Drosophila melanogaster: one gene and its partner. The protein of the gene in region 1 interacts with the protein of each later gene in a pairwise test. Each region holds a gene or a part of one and is shown on either strand. Other genes may lie near its edges.

Region 1 (10,236 bases):
GTAAATAATTGAAAGTAGTAGAAAAGATGCAGATAATATTTCTTGAACCTAAAATTCAAGCGAAATACATATTAAAGTAGTGTTTTTGGAAGTTCAAAACAAAATGGCAAGATGGGACATAGTTATAGGAGAATAATGTTTAGCTTTAGTTAGTCAGCTATAATCCTTATAGTTGAACAAAAAAAGATGCACAAAGAGACTGGATATGAGTTAGTTAAAAGCCAGGTTCAAAAATTTCCCCATATATATGTCTTATAGACAAAAAGCATCGCTGTCAACTTTTCAGGCTTGTTTGGCAGTTCTCCAACATCGCCACTTTACTCCCAACCATAAATTCAAAAGCGAAACCGGCAAATAAACACAAATTTACACTCAAACAGGGTTCGTTTGATATATATATGTATCGTGCTGGTGCTATATGTATGGTACTGGCAACATATCGTGGCAGAAACATAGCGATCCAAGTGTCCAGATATATCAACAATGTCGCTGTTAAGCGCCGGAGTCCGATGATTTTGGGCTGCCCCATGTCGCCACTTTTTTTTGTCACCGAACGAAAAGGGCTTCCGCTCCACAGGAAGGGATACATTTTCCCCATGCGTCACGTTAAAAATACAATAAATATACGCAAAACCTTTATAAGTTTTGAAACCAAAAACCAAAGCTGTGCGCTCCATTGCCGAACTATTTTATAAAATGTTCGAACAGACACGCCAAATTGAATCAGCAATGTTTAAAAGATTCAGCAGAAAAGTCCATTGCACAACAATACGAAATATTTAAAGCCTTTCATTCAACTGAAACGTGATGAGATTAAAGCTATCAATGTAAATTGTTAAATGAAGGGAGTATTTTTCATGCGAAAGAAGTCAAAATGGGTTTAAATGGTAAATGTGCAATTTTAATGGATTTTTCTGATTGTTAACACATTGAAATAGAATACTTATATACCATATATAAAATATATATTATATAAAATATATATATATTAAATTATTGTATGAGATATATCTTTCTTAAAAACGTGACAATACCAAAACCAATATCTAAACAAAATCATACTTGAAGTTCAAAAAGAATTTAAATACTTTTTTCGAACATTTAAGCAATACAATCGGAAGTCGCTCAAACCGCCACTGACTCATCCGCTTGATGTGGTTGCATTGTCCAGATGTAGATGCACTTTTTTTTTGGTATATGCAAATTTGGATTCATATTTTTGCAACTTTATTTTAGTTTTAATTGCGCGCACGCAATAATTTTCCTTGATGGCGCATCAACGTCAAGGCGAATCGCTCGCCAACGCTCCATCCATCATAAAAGGCCAGCCCAGCAGCGAGTTGGCCAAGTTGGCGGGTTTGGGAGGAGAAGGCTCTTTGATTATGAGCGCGTGCGCACAATCAGGCAGAAAAATTCACAGAGGCAACCAGAATCGACTTGGCTGGACTGCACTGTCCGGTGGACAGGGCGAAGCCAGAGATTCACCCAGTTGGGACTCGATTATCATTATCATTCAGGGGGCGCAGCGGCCATAAAAACGATTCTGCGATTCCCTCTGTGTGTTTCTGTTAGCCAAATGGCGTCTTGCGCCTTGTTTTGCATGCTGCGCTCGTTAAGAACGCCACCGAGAACAATGCAACAGTGGGAGCAGTACACTGAAAATAAAAAAGGGTAGTGCTATGGGGTAAATACTGCAATTGATATGGGTAGAAAAACATTAGAGGATCATTATGGGTAACTTGCTTAAGTATATATATAATAAATCTTATATCTTATAGATGTATTTTATAAAATAAATTTATATTTAATAAACTCATATTTTAAAAATCCTTACTTTCTAACATTTTTGTTAGACTATTTCCTTAGCAACATTTGCTTGTTTTAATTGGGCCATCTAACTTTTTACGGTGTAAGACCAGCAGCATCGACAGCAGTTATCCAACTGGTGTCCAGTAATGGGCTTAGCCCAAGTAAACCCCCTCGCCAACCGAAAACAACTGCGGTTTATAATGACGTATCGGGCAAAATAAGAATTGAGTCAAAGCCGCGACCTGCATATTGATTCGGCATGGATTAACAAACCTGACTCTCCTTCTCCACGGGCCAAGTAATAAAGCCAAGAATGCGAGACGTTTGCCTACTCATGACAATGCAATCCATTCTTATATAAATATTCATTTTAACTCATAGATCTGTTGGCCAGTAGCAGGTGCCATGCCTGCAAATAAGCCAAGACCAGTAGTCGCAAAGATCAAATCGATTTGTGGTGGACCTTGATGGTCAAAAGAGCTAATCTTTTAAATATGAATTATAAATATCACGAACAAGAACCACTTGATGCATTGGAAATGGGAATTTTTTACATTAACCTGGCTTTTAAAGACCAGCAATTATAGATAAATTATATGATGGTTGATACTTTTATTTAAGAGAATATATTGTTTAAAACTATAACATCTGTTTTAATTGACTTCTCTTGGCTTCTCTTTGAAAAGTTTATAAATCTCTTTGAGCCAAAACAGCTCTTTGGTATAGCTCTTAGCCAAAAGTCGTAAGACGAAAAATAGAAGAAAATCGGGCATAAAGTAGAGACCAATTTAATTTGTTTGTTTTACTAATCAGCGGCACGTACTCGCACGTTTTTTGCGTCAAAGTCTTTAGTGCGGTCTTTAGCTGAATTCTGTTCGCCGATATTGGAGCTCTTTTTGTTGCCATCGCTGCTATTGGACGGTACGCTTTTGACCAGGTCGGGCGTATCGGCTGCCGTTTGGCTAAACAGCCCACGTTTAAACATGGCTCAGAGCGTGCTAATCAAGTGGCTACGAAAACAAAATTACGCGACCGACTGAGCAAAAGCCAGCTTTGACTTTGTCTCGTTTTTCATATATTTGTGGTTACCTTTCCAGGGGGTTCTTCGATTTTTGAAAGAGGTTTGTAACACTGAAAAATATACCCACAAGCTTAAGGTATATATGAAGAAAATTTAAACGATTAGATGTCATTTTTGGTCATAATTAAAATCGAGTTATTTTTACAACTTCAGTATTATCAATGATATTGATCATTGAAGCTTCGAAAAGGGTATTTAGACATTGGCTGAAAAATATTTATTTTCCTCCTCTTTTTTTTGATTGACTTTGGTTTTTATGTTATTTGGTCGCGTTGCGTTGAAGTTGGTTTTGGCTTTGGACTCCGGTGAAGCCAGGGGATTTGGGGCTAGGGCTGGGCCGTCGTTTGGGTACGCTTTGATGGCTTCTAGGTGAAGGTCATTGTGTGACTGAAATGTTAATTTGACTGACTGTCGTACTTTTATGCCGGAGTGCCTGGGCTATTTCAGTTGTATCTTTTTAATGGCACTTGCTAAGGTTCTATACACCTAGAAGTGGGTATTCATGTCGGCTTAAAAACCACTAAACAAAACTCAAAACCAACTTTGATTTGTTGCGCCGCTGGTATGCGGCGATTTTTAAATGACTGACATTTGCTAGCAAGTCGACATAATATACAAAAGCATCAGAAAAAGTTTGAAATTTTTTAAAATATACATTAATTATAGAATTGAAGTTGAGGATATTAAAATAATTAAAAACATATTTGTGGTTATTATTTCAGTTGCCAGCAGAGTTTTTATATTATATAAAGAATTTTCTGAAACGTTTTAGAAATGACTAAAAACGATCCGTGTAACAGCTTACTTTGATTTCAATGGCGCAGTCTTAGACTCCAATGATGGCGATGCAAATGAGCGACATATTTGCAGACAAGTCCACCAGCAATTCGGTGAATGGGCGGGCGTCTGCTTCCCCGGAGGATAATGAGCTGCAGCCCCCGTGAATCGAGTCTGGTGGCCCATCTAATGGTGTTGTTCGCATGGTGGTTAGATGGTTGAATGCTGCAGCTACAGCAGCAACGATTCAGCACCGTTTTGCTGATGCGGCACACTCCAATGCCATAAAAGGGCATTAGCCTCGTGAGTAGATTGCATGTTTTTACCACAGGTTTTCGTGGATGGGCTCCCGTCTTTTGGGGTGGCAAAGTGAGGTTGTACTGGCAGCTGAGTGCGCGCGCTTTGGAAAATTGAATAAAGTGCCGGAGGAGCCAACGAAGGATTGAGGCAACGAAGCGGAGTAAAGTGCTCGATGCTGGCAGCCAAGTCATTTAAGGGTTGCCGGCAGCACTCACATCGGCCTACAAGGAAAGATGAAATACAGTCGCTTTGCTAAGTTTATAATCCCTTATTTAGAGTACATTTTCTGACTACCCAGCTAACTAACACAACTCTAGTAACTGACAGATGATTGGCATGGCCGAGAATTTTCTCAACAGACATAGCAATTATTTGGAATTAATCATAGACTTATTTGCATGACTGTTGATCCGCAAGTGGCAACGTGTCGTATGCGCAATGCTTGCTCTTGCTGGGTCTGCGATGATTCAGAGGGGACTCTAGTACCGCCCAACGCATAAATATGAATGAGGAAATCGAAGCAGCTTGCCACTTGGGCTTAGCCCAGACTGGATTTTCCAGAATTCCATTGAACTTATTACTGACCGACACGATCCATATAAAAACGAAAGAAATTGCATCTGGCTATGCAGTTGCCGGCGGTGCATTGATCAGCATGATGAGCCGCATCATATCATTGCTTCTCCTATTCGGAATCATTTGTGCTGCTCTAATTGCCGGCCATCCGCACGACCTTATTGAAGATCCGGAAGGTACCAATGATGCTTTGGAGGAATCTGGCAGTGGATACAACAGTGCCGAAGAGTTCATGAATGCAATGGACGAGCTGATCAGACGCTGGCAGGAGAACGATGCAGCTCATGAGAACTCAACTGACTATCCAAGTCTTGATGACGATGAGACGACTTTGGATTTTATGGATATTACCACCGAACCGGCTACTTAATATGGAATTATTTAGTAGTGCTGTAATGCTAAGTCATGCTATCCTATTGTCTGTAAATAATCTAGTTCTTCAATAATAATTATTAAGGGAAATAAAAGAAAGTTTTTAGAAATTTTAAAATGAAATCAATCAAGAGAGAATCAAGAGATCTTCATTTTTTGATAATGAATGTTGCCTACTCCGCAATTTCGATTTTAAGTACGCATTAAATACTAGTCATAGATTGAATTTAATAGCTCGTTTAGTATATCAATTAAGCTTGTGGTAAGCTGTGTTGCTGTTAAGCTGGAATTTCCCGCACTCACCTCTGTCTAAAAGTATACATATCACCTTTAAACCAACCACTTAGAACTGCTGATAACCCAGGGCAAGGCTATAAAAGCCCAGCTCAAGAGCCGACTGACATTCAGTCAACTGTAGCCAGAGCTAATCGAAAGAAAAATGCAATCCATTCTCCGACTGCTGGTGCTGTTTGGATTAATCTATACCGCGATCGGTGCATCGGGTATATTTCAGAATATAAACCTCGGTGGCGAAGGAGGAAGAACACGATCTTCAGGTGGCAACTTGGACTGGAGCGATAGTGTTCACAGTTCTGATGACGATAGGACTCTGAAGCTACTGGAATCGTTGGATAACAGTGGCAATGATAGAAATAATTGGGGCAACGATGCGGTGAGGAATTCTGGATTCGATACCGATAGATCCGCAGGAGACTCAAAGGAAGACGCTCGCGGATTCCAGTTTATACACATAGGATAAATGTTACGATGTTAAAATACTCAATTTAAATAAAAGAATTTTTAAAAGATTAAGAAATAAGCATTATAAAATGCTTTAGATTTTATTACTTAACAAACGTATTTATTATTTTATGAACTGATCTTATCTAACAAATCCAATGGGCCTTGACCCATTTCGAAATCAGTTCCGCCTGTTTCATCATTGAGAATTTTTCACTTTTACTGTCGATTTAAAATAGCACCCCTCTCTAAATATCTTTAATCATACAGCTTATGCTAATTAGGTGAATAATAAGTAGAAAAAAAAGAAACCAATTTTGAGCTTAGAATACCATTACGATGAAAACGAAAACAAAAAGAAATTAGCATATTTATGCGATTTTATGGTTAAACCAACGTTCTGTGTTAATAGCCGAATTTCAGTCTTCAGCATAGCGTTAACCAGTTATACATAACTATAACTAAATGAAGGCTATCGAGAGAAATTAAATCGATTTCCGCATCATGAATACATTTTAAGCAGTGCTAATCAGAAGAAAATGTTGCGCAAGACCTAAGCAAACTTACCTCCGAAAGTAGTTAAATTTTTCTTCTGCCCTTTGAACAAAATGGAATAATAGAAAATATTTGTTTGTAAACATACAACAGATCTAAATTTAATTACCACCATTAAAGCGTAATTTCTATCTCGGCAAATCAATCAAAAACAAACATCGAGCGGAACAATCAATTATTTCGATTACAATGCAATCAATTACTATGCAAATTCTCTTCGCACACAGCAATGACTGAATTCGTATAATTAAACAATTTTACGTTTAAATTTTGACTTAAATTTAAATGATTGCTTTTGCTAATTATTTACCCCGTTCAAATAACAATTACAGCAGCGAATTCGAGGTGTAAATAATGGAAACCGCACAATTGTGCTGCGTTTTTGCCGCAGGACGAGCAGCAGGTTTCTCTTTTAAAATTGCAATTATATTTAAACGTTTCCCGTATTAAACGCACCCCATTTTCCACGCACTTTATTAAAGACCCAGAGTTTTCTCAGCCACATTTAACGCATATAATCAGTGTTTTAATTGGCGCTTTAATCTTCATAAATAAACACACAAATAGCCGAAAGGATGTAAATTTCCAAAAGGGGAAAAATCATGGAAAGCTCGCACGACGAGTTGCGCGGTAAATAGAATGTGGTAATAATGCCATTAAAACTGTAGTACGTAATGATGTACGTGAAATAATTTAAAAAGTATGTTAGCTGCCGGCTATGAAAACTTGTTGGGTGTCACAACACAATTGCCCTTTGAGTCGGATTTAAGAACTTGATTACGCATACGCAACGTGGGCAAGGCCACATTGTCTCGACGCCCAACGACAGACACAAGAACGGAATGAGAATCGGGCTTCCAATGAGATAAGCCAGCCAGTTGAGGAGATGCCAGTGGTGGAGGTCATAAAAAGGGCGGAATTGAAAGAAATGAGCGCTAAGCACTCGAAATATGAACTGATGACACAGACGGCGGCAATCTTAAAGTAAATCCCAAAGTTAAAGACACTAGATGTTAAACCTGCCACGGAATCGGATTCGGATTGGGTTTCCACTTCCCCTCTATTCAGCAGCAGTGGCAGAGCTTTTACGCAGCCAACTGATTAAATTTATTTATTATGTCACTCTGCGTCTGTGTCTCACTAAATGGATGGATGGATGGCTGAATGGATGGGTGGTATCCCCTCCTCCAAGAGCTTACTTTATGGCCTGTTCTAGCTCTTAAGACCCATAATGGCAGAGCAATCGCTGGCTTAAGTCACCCTTCGGTTTTGTGTCCCCTCGTTTTCTTATCGATGGGGGGCAAATTGAATTTGGACTGCTGCTTATCAGACTTTTGTTTACTCGCTTATCGGGTATCCCAAATCTCTGCAAATGATATGAGATATACTGGCTCTGTGCCAAATACTTTGCTGATAACAAAAAATAAGTCTGTAACACCCGGCACAAAGTTGCAGTTCGTGTGTTGGAAGCACTTTCTCTTGTTATCGATTGCTGATACAACAAGAGAGAAACAATTAAAATATACAAAATACAAATAAAACAATAGACAGTTTGGGGTGGCTTTAGAGTGGGCAACATTAGGAAGCTCTCAACTCTCTAGCTTTTATAGTTCTTGAGATCAAGACGTTCATACGGACAGACTGGTCCCGCCGGTACTGGTCAGTTTTGTGGTAATCCCCTTGGCTTGTTTACTTCATTTCTACGTCTTTAAATAATATGTGTTTTTATTTCTTTTAATCATACTCTCTGTTACAAAGTAATTTACTGATCTTGGGGGTTCGATTCTTTTGAATGGCATTAACCCCCGTGGCTGGGGGATTCTGCCATCGATTGCTGGCCACAATTAATTACCACATTCGAGCAAAACAAATTCTGCATTTACCTGTTTTTCCTCTTTTGCATTCGCCCAGACAATTAACACAGGCAGCTCGATGATTGTTGTTGTCGTTGTTGCCCCTTCGCGTTTAACAAATGCAAAAATAATTATAATTAATGCAGAGTTTTTAGCCTTGAACTTGCATAACCTGCCGTAGCTCTCTCTCGCTCTTCGACGTAATTACTTTGTGGTGGTTCTGCTTTTTGGCCAGGCCAACAAAATCGTCATCGGCATTGTCATGACCAGTTCGTGGGTGAGCCGCAACGCCAAACAAATTTCGCATTCATATTTGTGTTTAGCCGCCACAAAAAAATGTAAAAAAAATTCTAAAACGTAGCTTAGCATTTAAATATTTTCAGCTTCGCTGAGCAGCGCGCGATGCAACTGCAAAACTGAGGGGGCAATAGATAGGAAAACTCAAATTCATATTGCTAACTAACATCTCTCTGCTCGCTTGTCTGGCCAAGTTCAAGGTGAGCATTTGCCGCGAAACTTGGCGAATTTCTGTGGAAACATCCAGCGAGCCATATACGATCTACCGCTTATTACTCACCTTTGACAAGGCCCCGAAACGATCGTGAATCTTAGCCTGACTCAGAGAATGTGGGGCTGGGACGGGGGGGCGGAAGATCAGTCAAGTGCAGCCAGTCCAGCTCATCCGAGAACGCCCTCGGGGAAAGGCGGACTGCTCCTCACTTACTCAGCTCGCTAATTAATAACTCAGCCAAGTCGGCGGTGGCACTAAATCATATTCATACTGCATGTATTCGCACAATGGAGGCAAAATGATCGGGTAACTAGGTATAGCTTCGTAGTTAGCTAATGCACTTTATCTGAATCTATTGCCCAGCGCGAAGAGATCGGGTTCTTACATTTAAAAGCCAGGTGAAGAAGGTACTAATGATGCATTCATCATAATCATTAAACTACCGGGTTATTCAAACGTAATATGCAATAGCAATTAATGATTTTAAGCACTTATAGAAAAAGATGAGTTATGCTTGCAATAAATACTATTTGTAAAGAACAAGTAATAATAAGTACTTATTGGATTACTATTCAATTATTCTTAACCATTTAATATATATATATATATATACAATATGTATATATGTGTGACAGAAAAGAGACTAAAATAGATTCTGCGCGTAATTGGAAACACATAGCAAATAGTTCTTAATCATAACCATAGTGTGTTCCCTCTATTCGATGCACCACTGACCCACTTCCATCATGAATGCGGCGCCTTCTTCTCCAGGGGGCAAAAAGTCAAACTGCCTTGTACCGCCCCTCCATATTCCCCTCATTATCATCTCATATTTGCCCCGCCACTTCTTATGCAACATTTGCAGATGCAATTCTTTTGAGTTTGCTCTCGCTTTCTCGGCTCTCGGTTCTCTGCTCTTTGCCGGCTGCAATTTTATTGCTAAATTAAGTAATTGGTACAAGAAGCCGCCTCCGCATCCCATCCGGCTGCCCTGCATTCGCTTTGGATTCTGCAATCTAAATGTTCAGCTATGTTTGCCTTTGTGCGAGTATCTGGGTATCTGTGGCCGAGTATCTGTATCTATTAGACCGCTGGCGGCCTCGTATCTGCATCTGGGCATCGCGGGGCGGCACACAATGAGAAGCGCGCTCTGTGCTCTTCTTTGGTATTCTACTTTTGCCTTCCATGGCGAATGTGTTTTGCAGATGCAATTGACGGAGTGGTGAGGGCAACAGAGCGTATGCTGAATGCGGGTTCGGGGCAAAAACCAAAATAATGTAAATATACAAAAGGAAAATGAAGTCAAAGAGACCAGGCGGCGAGCAAGGCAAGTACTCAAAATGCGAGTGTGGGTTGTGCAACTTTGGCAGATACTACAGAGCAAATGGTATCGCTTCTGCTACTTGCATTCTAAAGATTCTTTTGGGGCATCGTTCTTTTTACATATGCATACTCCTCTCGCGAATCAAAGCGAACAAATTCAAAGAAATTTGAAACTGAACCGAAACTTTTTATGGCATCCAAATGGCCAGACGTAAAATGGCATTACGAATTAACAAATAAAATAAAATAAAATGGGGGGCGAGACCATAAAATGAAGCACGCAAAGCAGATGAACTGAAATTCCCAAGGTCGCTGGCAAAGGAACTTTTTGTTAGCGT
Region 2 (9,896 bases), on another chromosome or scaffold:
TAAATATAATTTAGTCATCGAGAGACCCCTTCTTAAGAGTTTTGTTTAATTTTTGCGAAAAATATGATGGTCTTATAATCATAATGATTTTGGAAATATTAAGAAAAAAACAATGTTCGATTTTCATCAAATCAAATTTTTAATATGTATGTATATTAATGTATATATATTTTAACATGTGTTGACAGGGGTCCCTGAAAAAAAAAACAATTTCGGAAGTATGTTCTGCTTTAGGTATATTTTAAATATTGTGCAGCATTTTCAACTTAGTAAAACATGGTTTATATTAAATACTGATTAATCGTTTGAACTTTAATGTGGTCGGTTGTTAAAGTCATGCATACCGAGTCGCTTTCGATCACTAGGTGTATCGTCTTTTTTGGCTGGGTTTGAGTAAAGCCATTTGTCGAGAACTTGTGCCGCTCCTTGACATAATAAGGATGCAATAGCTCGAGGTATACAAGTAGAGCCGGATATCTGACAGTAATGCGCAAACTAAAACTATTTGCATAAGGGGATGTTGCCGCTTTGCAGTCCTGACCTTCGACCTCCAGCTGTTTGACTTACATACAAGTAAGAAAATAGCAAATATTAGGCGTTTTAAAAAGAGGGGCACACTTACTGTTAGTTCTGAATCTTTAATGCCCATAATTTTTTTAAAGGGTACGGGGTAAAAAAAGTTTCTAGTCACAGAGTTGCCGTATTCGTCCTCCAAAATGATTTCCAAAAACAGTTCTTCCTTCAAATGTTTATGTACAGCAAATATTCCAAAGGTATTTGCCGCATCTCAAGTTTATTGGAGCCCTGTAAATGAGCCCTTGGTAGATGATATTATTGCCAATATAATGTCTTGGGTGTCTCACCAGTCCAAAAGGGCGAGCAATAGTCTTCTTAGGAATCGAGCCCGTCCATAGATAGGTGTTCACCAGTACATGGTATAACCGCGAGTCTCTATGCTCGGAGAAGTCCTCTCTTGTAAGCGTGATATTGAGGTTTTTTCGTATAGGGCTATAACACTCGTTGGGGCAAGAAGTTCCTTGGTCCAGTAGTATAATAGCTTAGGGTTTCCGTAGAAGTCGATGCAGGACCAAGTTGGAGCCACCCAAACATCGTTTAACTGCCATATAAGAGCTCCCATTGTATGGTTTCCTGTGCGTAGACTACGAAACACGTCCAAAGCGGTTTTAGTTGCCATGGCTTGTGTCACTTGGCTAAAATATAAAAACATCGATATTTTCGTCCCAATTTTGGGGAACAAACGGAAGCTGATAGGCAATCAATTGGAGTATCGGTATGAATCCCTTAGGGTCGTGCTGACGGCTTCGAATAAGTCTCGCAATTTCAAGGTCGCTATTATCTGCAGAATCAGCTAGTGCCCTTTGCCACGTTGATTTCATTGGAAGGCTAGAGTAACCGAATTCCGAAACAAAGCGTTTGGATACGTTTCAGGGCTGAATCCATCTTTGTCGTCCCAAAAGTGCACTAAAATAAAAAACAAAGGTAAAATAGACGTAGACGGAGAATTTCCAGGAATAAATTTGTGAAAAGCAGACTCACCATCACCTGTAAGCTTTGCGGGTTGTTGGAGAGGTTTTTGCCAGACTCCTGAACACCTAATGAAGGCGTAGAGGCCATGGGGTCAGGGCGAGGACTAAAATCTTTACGAGAGATAACGTTTAACTCTTGAATTAATGTTTCAATAAACAAGGCTTTGTAATCACTATCCATTCTAGTGGCGTTTTCTCCAAAATCAGATTTGTTGCTTGACAGGAATAGCTCAATCTCATTGTTGGTGACTATTAGGGCTAAACTTGGATGATAAGAAAGACGCTGTGCATTCTGTACTGTCTCAACGCACACAGAAGCTACAAAGTCATTTGCTAGCGGGTATGCTGCTTGAGAAAACGCCAGGTCCTGCCACACCAATAGTCCGTAAAAGTCCGCTAAGTTGTAGAAGGTATCCGACTCATAAAGGCCGCCACCCCAAACGCGTATCATGTTCATATTGGCCTCGTTTGCGGACTTAAGCAAATGTGCGACTTAATTGGATTTCGTATAATAAGCTAATTTATTTCTGCTGCCATTAGGTATATATACTTACCCGCATCGGCATCGGCCGATAACTCCGGAAGTGTGTGGGCTGGTACATAATTCGCTCCTTTCATGAATATGGGATGGCAATTGACCCGAAAAAAAGGTTCTGCCATTGTCTAAATTCAATAAGATTAGTTTTTACATATTTTAAGACCAAAACAAAAGGTAACGTTATATCTAGGACCCTAAACTCTACAGGGGACGCTTTGGTTTACGGCAAGACCGTAGCAATTAGGAAGATAAATTAAAAACCAGATAGAGTGCTATAGTCGAGTTCCCGACTATCAGATACCCGTTCCCTCATCTATCGATAGATATTGGAGAATATAATGAAATATGTTGGGTAATTTGTGGGCGTTAGCGTCGGCGAGGCAAAAAGTTATTTGGCAAAATGATAGGAATTTTCAATATCTAATAAAATATAACAAAAATATTAAAACATTTTTAAAATGTGTGGGAGTGACAGTTTTGGGGAGTAAGTGGACATGGCAAAAAGTTTTATCGATAATTTTTAAAAGACTATATAATATTTAAAAGGCAAAAATTAAAACTATTTTTAGTCAGTGTAGCAAAAAGTTTGTTGGCGTATCGATAGAAATTTACAAAACTAACACAAAGATCAAAAAATATGAAAACTTTTTTCAAAAGTGTGGGCGGGGCAGTTTTGGGCAGTATGTGGGCATTATAGTGGGGCGTCACAACGTGTCTCAACAAACTTGCGCCGTATCTATGTTTCTAGAATCTGTATGTTCAACTATTGTATCTTAACCTTCAAGCTTTTATAGTTCCTGAGATGTCGACGTGTATACGGACAGACGTACATGGCCAGATCGACTCGGCTATTGATCCTGATCAAGAATATACATACATGTATATACTTCATATGGTCTGAAATGCCTTTTTCACTCTACGAGTAAAAAAACATGTATGAACACTCTAGGCGACTTCTTCCTCGTAGCAAAACAGAACAACTAGAGAGTCTCTGGATCTAACATTTTCAAGACTATCTTAGGGGATATTATCTGCATAGCTTGAGCTGCGTTTATGTCTCTGACATATGCATATATGCATGTTTAATCAAAACTTTCTGGCCTTTAGTTTCTAAGATCTAAACAAAATCTCGACGCTCATACATACAGATTAATATGCGGACAGATATGGCAGAGTCTTCTGAAGATTACGTTGGAGGGCTTGACTTCGCCCCCTTAGGTTTATTGACTAGCCTTGTGGCGTAGCAATGTAGATAATAAGTACAATTATTATTTGCGGCTGTAAGCCGGAGCACGTTCTGATTTATTTGGACACAAAACTGAGACTAAAGAGTTGACAAAACATGGAGCTAAGTTTACCCTAACAGCAATGCATTGCGCCACCAAGACGAGTCGGCAAAGCCGACTCAGCATTCCTTGCAGCGTGAAGCAACACTCCGAATAAGAAGTTACAGCTTTCCGTTGCCGGACGTTCTTTGCGCAGAGCACTGAACACAATTCTGGCGCTACAGCATTCTTCATATAGAGCTACTTAGTTGCTATGAATTATTATGTTATGAGTTGTTAACTTATACACTAGTGGGCATAAGTATTTAGACACCATTAGCTTGCAACTGCCGGGCTATGCTTTTCATAGTACAGTCAAATAAATAAGTAAACTATTGGCCTCGACTGTGCCAAAAAATATGTTGGTCAGCCTGCATCATTCTGGAAAAATGTTTTGTGGAGCGATAAAACCACTTTTAAGTTTCATTGCTCAAAAAAATTTTTTTTTTTAGATTACCGAAACAATATCGGAAAAAAGTGGCACCAGTATGTCAGAGAGTAAATCATTCAGGAGGGTCTGTTATGTTTTGGGGATGCGTAGCCTTCACTGGCTTGGGAGATTTGGTTCCTGTTGATGGAACCATGAATCAAGGAAAATATTTAGATGTCCTTAATAATCATGCATTCCCCTCTGGTGATAAATTGATTGGAGAGTCCTTCATACACCAGCAGGATATTGCTCCCTGGCATAAGGCCAAACTGATTACGAAGTTACTGAAAGATGTTGGCGTAAACACATTGGATTGGCCACGTCAAAGTCCAGACCTCAACATAATAGAAAACCTCTGGTCATATTTAAAAAGAAAAAGGAGTGCAAACTTATCTAGAAGTCGCGAAGAAACGATTTTGGAAATTCAAACCTTATATTTCAATAGATTATATCCACAGCTTGGTACAGTCTGTACCAAAACGTCTGCAAAAGGTGACGCTAAGGGAGGGTATATTTTTTTATTAATTTGTCATAATTTTTTTTCAATTTATAAAATTTAAATAATTTGCCCAAATACTTATGCCATTGCTAATTTGTAAGAAAGTGATTTTTGTTAAATCAACAATGAAGTTATCCATATGTTTATGTTACCTCTACATTTAACTACGATAGCCTACCTATTTACTAAAATTATTAAACAATTTTGCTTTAAGTAAACAATAAGTTACAAACAAATATATTGAAAATATTTCTTGTCCAAATACTTATGCCCACTAGTGTATATATATGTATGTACTTCCGTAGAGTGCCGCGACTATTAGATACCGCTTACTCAAATAACTGAAGTGCGACAGATGTGCAATCAGTAGAGACGACTCTTTTCTATTAACTTTTTTAACTTCTATTAACTCTTTTTTCATAGGTTTCTACTAAATCAGATTCTAACAGTTCTTGGAACGTAGATAAGCATTGATAAGCTTAACTTAATATCATTAACGAATACGTTCAGAATGTAGGCAACGGGTATCATAAGCAGAATCTTCAGATAAATTACCCGGCACTTATAGGAGGTCTTATTTCTCAATGTCCATTTTGTAAGCTCTTCGACAAGAATGGTTTTCGCAAAGTTATTGGGGATAAACAATATAAGCACAAATAAGGTATGTATTCCGACCATAAAAACGCGTTGTTTGTCTTATTGAAATCTAATGGTCGGTCTCACCGTCACACTGTTTTGTTTTTTGAACGAACGATACCGCTCCCAAGTGAGAACTGCCGGTTGAAGACTTTGTCGACCTCGAAGTAACAAGTCGACAAAATGTGGTAAAAGCTATCGATTAATGGGTTCATCGAATAAGTAATGAGAAAAGAAAATAACTATAATCGATAGGCTTTTACTTAAATTTCATGACGAAAGTTTCGGAGCAATCGGACGGACAGGGTCAGATCGACTCGGCTATTGATCCTGATCAAAAAATATATACTTCAAATGGTCGGAAAAGGCCTTCGGCATTTTACATACTTTATAGGGTATACTAGCCTTTCAAATGTGTAGCCATTGCAGTTTTGGTCAGCATGCGGGTGTGTAGGGGTCACAAGAGTCTACATGTCCAATGGTAATGCCCATGTAATATACATGATTTTCAAATTCACATTACAAACAAGAAATGCTTGTTTGGGCTTTGCTGATGGGTATCGTGTTAATATCAGTTGGAATCATAGGCATATCCGTTAAAAAACCTCCCTTTTGAATTTCGCATTTGGATTTGGTTCAGATCAGCACTGTCAACCTCATGCCCATATACAATGGTTCACAGCTCAGTTTAACCAAAGACAATAGTATATTCTATTCGCAACAGCTTTTAAAATTTAAAAAGAAATATCTTCTGAACATATCTGTAAGTCTCACACTAGCTCACACTTCTTTGCTGGCAAATTTATAAAAATTTGAATCAGAATGTATTTCCGAATATTAAATTTAACCATGGATATGCGCTTTTTATTTAAAATTGTTTGTCTGGCACAGCTACTAGCCCCCTGATATTATGCTGAAGAATGTTTCAGAAAACCACTAGAGTATACTCGCCCAGCGCCCTAATACAGACGGTTACTCATCATACTTAATTCTTTTAGGCATGCCGTCGAATTCAATTATTGTCAGGACAGCATCAAAGTTAGTTTAATCAATCAAGTCAATCACAAGTCAAAGTCAATTTCTGTTATCTCAACACCTCTAAACACTTGACAGCCGCGGTAACGGAATATTAAACAGGCGAGAAAGATGGCCACAAACGCAATCGTATAAAAAGGAAGCGCCAACTTAGATGTTCACCAGTCTGCCAAGGGCACAGTAAAGCATGGGACCTAGAAGCTGTACGCACTTCGCCACGCTGTTTATGCCACTCTGGGCATTAGCCTTCTGCTTCCTGGTGGTGCTGCCGATCCCAGCGCAGACGACTAGTCTACAGAACGCTAAGGATGATCGGCGACTACAGGAATTGGAGTCAAAAATTGGTGGGGAAATCGATCAGCCCATTGCGAATTTAGTTGGACCATCATTCTCTCTATTCGGGGACAGGCGTAATCAGAAAACAATGAGCTTCGGTCGCAGAGTGCCACTAATTTCACGCCCAATAATACCAATTGAGCTGGATCTCCTCATGGATAATGATGACGAAAGAACGAAAGCTAAGCGGTTTGATGATTACGGCCATATGAGGTTTGGTAAAAGGGGAGGTGATGATCAGTTCGATGACTACGGTCACATGCGTTTCGGCCGATAAACACTTGCCATCAGTTTAGTCATTTAGAAAACCGATTATGTATATTGTACATAGAAATTAATCGAGCACACATTTTATATTAACAAGTATATAAAAAGTAATAAATGTTCGCATTCAAAAATTTAATATTTCGTATTATAGCCGAATTCTTAGAGTAAGCTATGATGGATTCATTGAAAAAAGGATTTTTAGTCCCTTGCATATAGGTGTATTGATTCCTAGCAGAATTTATCACCGCGGTAAAAAGCCTCCATTTATCCGGTATATAAAAAAAGGGCTGCACCTTCAATATATAAAAAGTTTTATTTAATTATTTGTGACGAAAGCATTTGAAAGGTTCTCCGACTTTCGAATTGTGAATACCTTTTAAAGACGCATCGGATTTACTTAACAAGAATTATTGTCGTTGATGTATGTTTCCCTTAGGCCCATTTATATACAGCTGTGTTCAGAAAAATAGCAGTGCTTTGGACTTGAGAGTTTAAGATAAAAATTTCCTATGATTTACAGTTTTAATGGGAAATTTTTTTTTATAATATCATTAGGTATTTAATTTCAAACAATTTAACAAATGTTTCACTTTTATTTCTTCAATAGTTTCGAAAATATAGAATAAAACAACATAATAGGCAGAAATTCTGGTGTTCAATGAAATAGCAGTGCTATGAAAAAATAGTAACAAAATTAAACTTGACTTAGAAACGAACTTAGTTTTTCTTTTTAATATGTTAATTCGGGCCTAATACTTGGCTGGAAAGCCTTTGTTAGCCAGCACAGCCTTACACCCACGCGACATGGAGTCCACCAGGTCCTGGCAACGTTTGGGAGGAATTTTTGCCCATGCATCCTGGACAACTTGCCAAATCTGAGCCTTAGACGTCGGGGACTTCTTCGACACATATTGTTTAATGTCCCCCTACAGGTTTTCAATCGGGTTTAAATCGGAAGATGGTGCTTGCCACGGCATTGCATCTATTCTATTTTGGGTGAACCTATTCCTAGCCGACTTGCATCTGCGTTTCGGATCATTATCCTGTTGGAATGTCCATTTTAAGGGCATATTATATTCAGAATATTACAGTAAGACATCTCTAAGTATATTTACATATGCGTTTTGGTCTATAATACCATAAATCATATGTTATGGACTCATACCATTGTAAAAAAAAACAAGCCCATACCAGGATTTTAGGTCCACCGTGATTGAAAGTCTTCAGTGGGTGTTTTGGGTGGTACTCGGTGTTTGGAGGTCGTCAGATATACTGTAGTGAACCAGTTCCACCAAATAGCACTATTTTTGACCGATCAGTCCAAAGGATATTACGCCATTTGCAGACTGGCCAGTTTCGGTAGGTTTTAGCGAAGGTGAACCTTGCCTGAATAAGCCTTGGGCTAAGTGGGGGAACCTTTCTTGGACTCCTCGCACTGAAATTTTGATTCAGTAGTCGTCTCCGAATAGTAACGTCACTGATTCCCAAGTTCAGCTCAGACTTTATGTCCCTAGAGGATGCAAAAGGATAGGCGTTGCTCTAACGAACTATGCGTCGATCCTCTATATCTGTGGTTTTTTGTTTGGTACCACGGGTTTCGGGCTTCCATTCATATTTAATGGCATTGGATACCATTTTGGAAAACATTCAAGGGTTTTTTGAATGTCCCTTTATGTTTTTCCTTCCTTTCTTAGCTTATGAATTTACATTATTTTCTGCTGGGAGCAGTGCTGTCCTCTATCCACTAAAATATAATTTTTATTTTTTTTTTAATTAATTGCCCTTTTAAATATACGAATTAACTTATCCAAACTCACTTTTTAGAAAATAATGATCATTTCGGAACTTTACGTTGGTCAAAACCAGGCACTGCTATTCTTATGAACAGCCTAAAAATTGCGATTTTGCTCAAGAATGCAAATAAAAAAAGGATAACATGAAAAACTAACCGGATTTTCTTTTTTTCCTTATCTACACATTCCATTTAACAAAAATAAGTGGAATAAAAAGTCAATTCCGAAAAGGGACATGGAAAAATACCTTTGTATTACTTAATTTCCTTCGCACTGCTATTTTTCTGAACACAGCTGTACATATGTATCTAAGTTCTAACTTGTATATACTGTATAACTTGTATGTACTGTATATACTGCTATATTCCGATTGGGTTCACTCGTTAAAATTAGTCAACCACAGCTCATTTTTATTTCTATACACTCTTATAAATGAGTATCGTCCGTGATAAGCGGACTCCGTTTTACTACAGAGACTCAGTATTGCTGAATATGTAGAAAGCGCGTTAAAGACTTGCAAGCTTTCCACCCGAGCTTTGTAAATAACTTCATGGGGGAGAGCCTTGAAAGCTTCAATGGAGACAGACAAGCTTGGTTGTAGCTTTAATACGCACAGACAGAATGGACGACAATAACATGGAGAACTTATATACATTTGTATTTAAATTATCAACAGATGTCGCCATTTTGAAACAGGTGGCGTTTTTTACTTGAAAATATTATACATATTTGTGCTGGAAGTAAATGTGTAGAGAAGACGTTACTTAAGACCTTAAGTTTAGTTTAAGTTATATTCTTTGTGTTTCACCTTCCGGAAGTCTTTCCGCTGCAAACTCATGAAATGAGCGCCAAGTGCTTGACGCCTCCTCTTACCGGTTTTGCTAATCGCTTTTGCAAAGAATGCTGACCGGATTGTCCGCATTCCACATATTCAACCACACACACACAGTCTCTACACATAGAGGTTGATACCAACACCAAGCACAAAATTTGCAGCACAAAGGAAAGTATCAGCGAGTTTGTCCATAAAGTGTAGTCTAGGCTACTACTACACCGATAGGCAAACGCACACACTTGCAGAGAATTATGTGTACAGCCCAGTCGTAGCTTTCAGCCAAGTCATGAGTGTAATCCAAGTCCAGTGGGTCTGGAAGGCTGTGAAGTGAGCACACTGCTCAATAAGAGAAGTCAGATGTGCTGCGGAGTTTCCCGGATTATAAGAATATATGGTCAACCTCCCTAAAATACTTTATTCTTAACAAAGTATTTATTTGTAGATATTATATTTATTTTCGTTCTTTTTCTGGATATTAACAGAGATAATGCTATAGTCGAGTTCACCGACCATCAGATACCCGTTACTCAACGAGTGGAAATGCGTACGCGAAATTTGATAATTTCTTGGAAATATAGGGGTATAAAATGAGAAAAATATGTTTCAAATTGTTCAAAAGTCTGGGCGGGACCATTTGGGTCGTTTTGTAGGTGTA

Evidence for each region.
Region 2: the proteins of CG9928 (region 1) and Dsk interact in a two-hybrid assay, tested with the Drosophila melanogaster proteins (one large-scale study listed by BioGRID).

What each region holds. Positions count from the first base shown.
Region 1 is NT_033779.5:13,137,984-13,148,219, reverse strand, and holds CG9928 (uncharacterized protein), read left to right. Parts: upstream 1-5,316; 5' UTR 5,317-5,354; coding exon 5,355-5,675; 3' UTR 5,676-5,775; downstream 5,776-10,236. Other genes in the region: CG16978 (uncharacterized protein), read left to right, coding at 4,623-4,913.
Region 2 is NT_033777.3:4,186,535-4,196,430, reverse strand, and holds Dsk (drosulfakinin), read left to right. Parts: upstream 1-6,170; 5' UTR 6,171-6,197; coding exon 6,198-6,623; 3' UTR 6,624-6,739; downstream 6,740-9,896.